Linked DNA regions of Danio rerio. The protein of the gene in region 1 binds, or shares a complex with, the protein of each later gene. Links are inferred from orthologs where the notes say so. Each region holds a gene or a part of one and is shown on either strand. Other genes may lie near its edges.

What was found.
Region 2: smek1 (region 1) and ppp4r2b share a complex: the UniProt entries of both Homo sapiens proteins name them as parts of the PP4 complex. The link is inferred for Danio rerio from reciprocal best matches to the Homo sapiens genes PPP4R3A and PPP4R2.

What each region holds. Positions count from the first base shown.
Region 1 is NC_133195.1:36,337,966-36,341,797, reverse strand, and holds part of smek1 (serine/threonine-protein phosphatase 4 regulatory subunit 3), read left to right. Parts: intron 1-826; exon of another isoform or gene 827-1,587; intron 1,588-3,184; coding exon 3,185-3,375; intron 3,376-3,513; coding exon 3,514-3,725; intron 3,726-3,832. UniProt on the Homo sapiens protein: Regulatory subunit of serine/threonine-protein phosphatase 4. May regulate the activity of PPP4C at centrosomal microtubule organizing centers.
Region 2 is NC_133181.1:46,718,514-46,722,445, reverse strand, and holds the start of ppp4r2b (serine/threonine-protein phosphatase 4 regulatory subunit 2-B), read right to left. Parts: upstream 2,381-3,932; 5' UTR 2,291-2,380; coding exon 2,257-2,290; intron 972-2,256; coding exon 890-971; intron 399-889; coding exon 228-398; intron 1-227. UniProt on the Homo sapiens protein: Regulatory subunit of serine/threonine-protein phosphatase 4 (PP4). May regulate the activity of PPP4C at centrosomal microtubule organizing centers.

The DNA.
Region 1 (3,832 bases):
GTTCAGTGTTTCTCAAACTTATTTCATCAAGTCCCACATCAGAAAGAAATAGTCTCAAGTACTACCATAATAACCAGTATTAAAATACAGTAGTGTGGTAGGCCTAATTAAGCAGCTATGCTCTGCAAAGTTAAAAAACGAGGCATATTAATTTGTATTAATAAGAATGTTTCTTAGTGTCAGCCACATTATACAACATTATAAATAGTTTGAACATTAATACAGTACTGTTTTTATAGGTTAAAAAAAACAAACAAAATGAATGTGTTTGTCAGAAAAGTAAGTGATCGCATGCAAAAAATACACAGCTTGACCAATTCATACATGATTTATTTATTCATACATACAAAATTTCTATGATTTGAGATCTCATCTTTTGTAGACAGAGTAAATGGGACCTTAGTCTCTGTGTGCAGTTAACCCAAACTTCACTAATACATTTTAGTTTTTAAAACACAAGTTTGGCTACAGTTTTTAAGCCCCGAAAACTGAGCTTTTTGAAAACGCTGAAGAGGCCATTTTCATTTTACAACACTGCTGCTCTTTGTCATTGTGGATGGGGGAAACTGAGACATCTTAAACGGAGGCATGGCTGCAGACGTTCGCAATCTGATTAAGGCTTTTTCTTAATATTAAGTGCATAAAGTTCAGTTTTGCATCTTTTCCTTAAGATCCGACTTTGCAAGTTTGATATGGAAAATAAACTCCCAAGGACATGTCGGGTGTACCTTCAAGGAAAAGTGTAGTTTATAACGTCATTCACATCACTCTGGCTACGCTGTTTCACTATCTTAATAATAACAATCAAATGAAAACATGATCTAAGGAACTGCCTACTTTCATTTTGATATTAACAACTTAACAGATGCCAAAAATGTAAGGCATCATGTAGCTACATATTTATGTCATATTCACTGTATGCATATTTATAACAAAACGGAGCCTATAACTTAACTGCCTCCTTTAATGTTCTTCAAAAAATATGAAACATACCCTCTCTTTTGTTGAATATCAGTTTTAATAATCAGTAATATCAATTATAAAAATATAATGTACTATAGGTTTATACAATATAGGCAAGCAATCAGTCAAATGTGCACTATCAGTGTTTGTAGTTACATTAATTGATGTATAATTTGCGCTCCGCCAAAACGCGTTACCAGAGAACAAGTAATAGATTTAAAAGACCAAAGAGTCAATAGATAGTCAAGATGACTTTAATCTATCACATTTAACAACTATAATTAGATAAAATCCAGCAGTAGATCTATGGTGAACTTTGACGTGCGCTGCTCTTACCTGGGTAGGTGGGTGTTTTGACTTCATGATGTAAGAATAGGCATTGAAGTAAATAACATTCATATTGTGACAGTTTTTTTGTAAATAGGAGAAGAACCATGCATCAAGCAAATTACTGCCAAAAAGAGAATAGTTTATTATACAAAAATCAAAGATAAACAGAAAATAGTTATGAGAAAGAAGAATAAAATAGATGACAACAAATAAAAAACATTTAAATTATATACAATTTATAATAACAAAATCCAAAAACAATAAACCCCGCAGGGGAAAAGGACAAAAGTGGCGCTGAAAGAAAAGAAAATAACAAAAACAAAAATCAAACTCAGTATAATCCTTTAACCTAACTGAAATAAAATAATCGAAAGCAAGTCTTCGGCGTTTACAAGCCCTAACTTGCCTACTCTAAACTTAACCAAACCGTAAAATACAAAGCCAGCGCTCACTCTTAAACCTGGTGTGTCTATACACACTTTAACTAAGTGATGTAAGGATGTACGTCATGTGACATCTACCTCTCCAAATCTCCCTGGGTAAAACAAAGAATATCAACAAAATTTCAAACAAACAACAAAAATAATATTAATGAAGATAAACATAATGGCAAGAACAACTTTTGACAAAGCAATATTAAGTACCACAAAAAAACAAAAGAAATAACGAGTGGCAGACTAAAACAAAGAACAAAACAGGAACGCAAAAGCCTCTGTCCGGCGTCCCACTCGTCGTCTTTTTAAAACCCTGGCAACCACTCAGATTGACTGCCGAAGCCACCACATCACTGAAGATAATGATGATTGACTGCTCCTACAGCCAATAACAATTCGAAGGGGGTTGACTCTTTAAAACTGAAAGAGAGAAGAGAGACAGAGAGAACAGGTCCGCGTGTGCGCAAGAGAGAAAAGAGAGAGACATGCATGCAAAATTCCAGGAGCGTAACAGTGGCCTTTAATTGGGCTATATTTTAGCTCCAAGCTTCATGCATGGCGAATTTGCTTGAGTCTATGTTTTGTGTTGAGCAACATTTAAATCACATCCAGATTAATTGGCCTAAATCTGACATAACAAATTAATCGAAAGTCACACTGCTTTACAAAACAAATTTCTATATCAAAATAACAAAAACTTTATATATCAAAACGTGCTTTAAATTTCATAACTATGGACACATTTTAACACATTTGTTATAATTGTTTTACCAATGATGCAGCATGGGGAAATTCCTGACTTTGCAGTAACTGAAATGTCAACACTGCACTGGTTTGCAAAAGTGCTTCACTAGCGCATATCTGCTCCAAGCGCTGTAGCTGTGCACCTCTTTTTCTGGCTCTGCACCAAAGTGGGTTGATTTTTAGCGTATGATGGAGTGATGAACTAAAGTAAACATTATAAGCACACCGATGTGATCGTATGCTTCAGGGAACAGCTGGCACTGATCACATTAGTGTAATTGTTTGCTTCAAAGGGTTAAAAGTGTGTTCATTTTTTTCTTTCTTTTATTATTCAATATTTCTCCACGTACCTCTAGATGAAAGTACCACAGTTTAAGAACCACTGCTTTAGTTTTAATAGGGCTATAAAATCAGTATCTTGTTTTATAGAGGAAAAAATATTTTCATACAAAACATTTTTTTTAAGTGTAAAATGTATTCTTTATGAAATACAAACTTAAAATAATTTGATAAAATAAAAAGTAAACTGTATAGGAAGTTTTCCCCCTCTGTTTTAAGAACAACTGTGAAACTATTGAAGTCAATATTTAAAAGGAGATTGCATCTTTGTCACCTTTTTTCTTTTTTGGAATTTGAGCTGCTATGATTTTATTGGTATCAAATGGTGTCATTCCATTATGTTTTTTTTCCCCTGTCGTCTTGATTATTTTCAGTATGCGGTCGATTCTGAGAAATCACCGTTTTCGCCGGGATGCACGGACACTGGAAGACGAGGAGGAGATGTGGTTTAATACGGATGAGGAAGACTTAGAGGATGGTGAAGCAGTTGTGCCTCCGTCGGACAAGATGAAGAATGACGAGGACCTTATGGATCCCATCAGCAAATTTATGGAGAGGAAAAAATGTATGTTACTGCTACTTACAGGATGGTGTGATGATCAGCTAGTATTGTCCTCCACTTGATTGCAAGATAATATTATGTAATGTGTGTTGTTTGTTTGATTGATAACTTTTTTGTACTTTCTCCTTCACTTTCCACAAGTGAAAGATTCAGAAGAGAAGGAGGTGTTGACAGGGAAAGCAAGTCTCTCAGGACGGCAAAGTCCCAGTTTTAAACTGTCCTTCTCCAGCTCGCCAAAGGCAAGCCTGTCCTCTCCGCCGACTGCATCCCTTCATCCCGGTTCACCTGGTTCTCCTAGCTCTCCCGGGACAGGGGCCCGGAGCTCTCCCCCTTCGGCAGCTGTCACCACTAAGGTATTTAACAAGAATTGAAAGTGCTTTAAAATTCTAGTTGTTTCCTTTTTTACTATTGTAAGACAAAGTATTTGGCAGGGTTCTAACAGGTGCTGGAATTGCTTGAA
Region 2 (3,932 bases), on another chromosome or scaffold:
ATGATGTAGACAAACCTTCTGTCGTACACCAAGCCCAACAAAAGAGGACCATTTTTACCCTTTAGGTGGTTGGATTCCAAACCTGATAAAGGTGACCCGTACCGTACTTTACCACTCAGTGGAAACGGGACATTAGATGTTGTGCCGATCAATTTCAGATAATGAATGATAGACATTAAAATTGCCACAACACAATCCCACAGTTTCGCCAAGAATAACAAACTTACCCATTGTATTCATTGACAATCTTTAGGATTCGCTCCTTCATTTCTTCAAAGGGAATTGACTCCACGTTAGGGTTGGCAGGCCCTCGTTGCTCTGGAGCCGATGCATGGAAATCCTCCATTACTTTTTCCAGTTTAAATACGAAGTAGGTTTTAAATTGAGACCAGGACACCCTGAAGAGATATACAGCATTCACAGCTCAGTTTATTTTTAGATTTGTCAGTCACAAAGCTGTTTATTATATAACTTACTATTATATGGGCTTTAAATGATTTGGTTGCAATTGTTACATAATGTGAGTAGAGTCCAGGGTGATGTGAGTGGCATAAAACCAGCACGACTGTTAATAACACATTTCAGTGTCATTGAGCAAATATATTTGACAGCAGAAGTATTACAAAGAGATAGATATTAATATTTTTTTAATTTTCATTCATGTATTCTAAAGAGTTCATGAAATGAGAGCAGGTCGGCCAAGTCAGATCTAGTCGATAAGTACAAGGTTTAGTTTGTTTTGGAACAAAACCAAAAGGTCATATAACAACCCACCCTCTGGTGTTACCTAAAAAAGCAGTTATGATTTTTAACAAACCACTAGAAGACAAAGGTGAAAAGGGTTTCTGTGTCCCACTTAGATCACTCATAGATATTTGAATGTACTTACAGGGTTTCCCCAGTCTTTGCAATATGGCACAAAAACTGGTCCAAAACTGTAGACGCTTCCTTCTTCACCTTCTTGTCAAAATCTGCAGGAGACAAAAGCAAAAGTTATTTTGGAGTGCATGCAACTCCAAATCCTGCTAATGCATTTCAGTCTATCAATAATATTTTAGTTCTGATTGACTCCATTCTAGTTCAGACATCACAAATATAAGGAGGAAATAGTCGTTTATTGTTCTTTCAATTATTTGTTCGTATTTTCACACAACTACAAAGCGGCTCTCTTTCTAGATAATCTTCATGCATTAAAACCAAACACAATTTTCTATTCTGAGCGTCCAGAAACAACTATAATATTATGCACACCTTTATGAAAATATAGAATCATTTTCCAAGCACAGATCTATTAACAGGCAAGCAGTGCAACTATGATAAACATCTAGGTTATGTAAACATGTCGTTTGTAATCTTAAACTCATTTACAAGTTCCATAACTTTGTTATATCTTTTAGCCGTTACCTTTCAACAATTTGGAACAATATATATATATATATATATATATATATATATATATATATATATATATATATATATATATATATAATCATTTAGTGATCAAAACCACTTCCACTTCCCTAAAAAATAAACAATATACGTATATAAAAAATAAATATAAGAACGGCAAATCACTCATTTACATCAAATAGGCCTTGATCAGACAATTGTGAGCTTTCATTAGAAATATGAGAAAATATCCTATTCCAAACACACTTACATAAAGCTCATACAGGTACAATAAATAGTAGTATTATATTATTTTGTCACCAAAACAATTTGTACTACTCACAAAAATCATTATTAAAACATATAAATAATAATGAGAAATTATTCATTGATATTTTTTTAAATAAACTAGGCTAAGAGCAGAGCTAAAGTGCAACTTAAATGAAAGATTTCTCGTTAAATACAAAAAGAAAATCACGTTAAAGAAAGAACAAACTCACAAAGAAAATGTTAAAATCATTCACAAGTTTATAGTTAACACTGAACACACAGATGTGTAAGGTTAGAATACTTAATTCAACTCTACATCATAGCAGTCCACTACCTAGTAAACTCCAACAATAGCCTTTTTATTAACGTATTAATAATCCAACCCTCCATTTTCTGACAGAAATTTAAAGTCGTCGTAAAAATAGAAGAATGAAACCTGCTGATCTGCTCTTAACACACAACAGACCTCGAAAAACAGGAAAAGCCATTTAGCCACAGGCCATGCTAGCATGAGCTAACTCACATTAACCAGACAATAACCACATATAACTCCATCCTAAACTCGCCCTGACCGCCTCAACACACGCGACCGGGTACCTTTGAGAGCCTCCAGAAGAGTGTCTATCTCCATGTCTGTGTTGTTTTCCCTGTCTCCTGTTGGAAAGCGAGAGCTGATGGCTGCTGTTGAGCTCAGTGAAGAAGAGGAGATGGGAAACATTTCAATATGGCGGCGACTGCGACGTCACTGCCGGCCGCTCTTCAGGAGCGCTGGCTGTTGCGCAATAGCATGGCCGCGTTCCAAAGCCTAGTCAGCCTCCTATTTAGGCATCATTTCTGGGTGGTTGAACACAGTGTTTTTGTTGCTGTGCAGCAATACCTAGTGAACGTCTCGTGTAGGCGGTATTTTAAAGCAGAATAGTCACATTTCGAGCTAAGTGTATGATCATAAGTGCTGTTAATGTTTAGCAGCCTACAAGGATTTGAAACACTTCTATGTGACTTGAATTATTTAACCTATTTATACCTGAACTCTCGTCTGTAAATTTAATTAAACATTAGAATGACTAATCTGGCTCTGAATTGTAACTAAAACAAAACGTAGCCTAGCCAAATCATTCAGCTACAAAGCCTAGGCTACTACAGGGCTGATGTCTAAATAAATTGTCTGAGGGGTATTTATATTGCACTGTACTGATTAATAATAATAGATAAATATAATACAAACTGTGGAATGGTCATTTAAGTGTACACCCATAATGATATTGAAGTAGGCATCCTGCAAGGATTTGAAACAACCTGACTGAAATAATCAGCCCATCCAGCAAGCATTTTATGTTTTTAAAAGAGGTCTAATAGATGTCCAAAAATAGTCATCTCGGCTAAAACAAGGCTAAATTTGGGCTGTCAGTGAAAATAGAATAGACGTTTAAGAATATAGGCCAAAACTAGACCAGTCATCAAATAAACAGAAATGAAAGACTACACATATAGAGTCTGTCTATTTTACGACTAGTCTAGTTTTGGGCTATTCTTACACGTGTATTGGATTTTCAGTGACAGCCCAAGTTTAGTCTTGTTTTAGCCAAGCTGCCTACGTTTAGATGTCTTTTAGACGTCTATTAAACCCAAAAGTGTTTGCAAATAATAACTGAACACTCATCTTTCTGTCTAAACACGTGACTGTTTCTTGCTCTTAATTTTACAAAATGTACTTGTAACCATCCAACTAAAACATCATGCTAATATTAGGTCATCTTTATAGTGTCTTTTAAAAATGTTAGTGTTTCCAGTGCATAGACTATAGCCTATTGTCTGGGGGTTAATACAATATATTGCAAGACAGCATGGAAATAGGCATCTTACCACGATTTAACAACAACAACAACCTGACTGAAATTAATAGACTATTTATAACTGAATACGTCTCTTTTAATAAGCACAGGTAGGACCAAAGTTGCTCCTGAATTTTAAACTACCATACAAAACATACAAAAATACATTATGCAAAAAGAACTGCATAAGACAATGTTAAAATAATGCATATTTATTCTTTACATTTTTGACATACTTCTGTATAAAAGGACAATAATACATATAATATAAGACATTTAGAAAGAAGAACAGAAAAAAAAACACGAGAGAAGAACATTCCTGGTGCTCCATCTTTTCACACAAACATAACATGAGATGAATAATAGTCTCCAGTTAAATAAATCTCATCACTGATCCCAGACCAGTGACAGGAGGTTGGAAACTAGTCACAAATATAATTA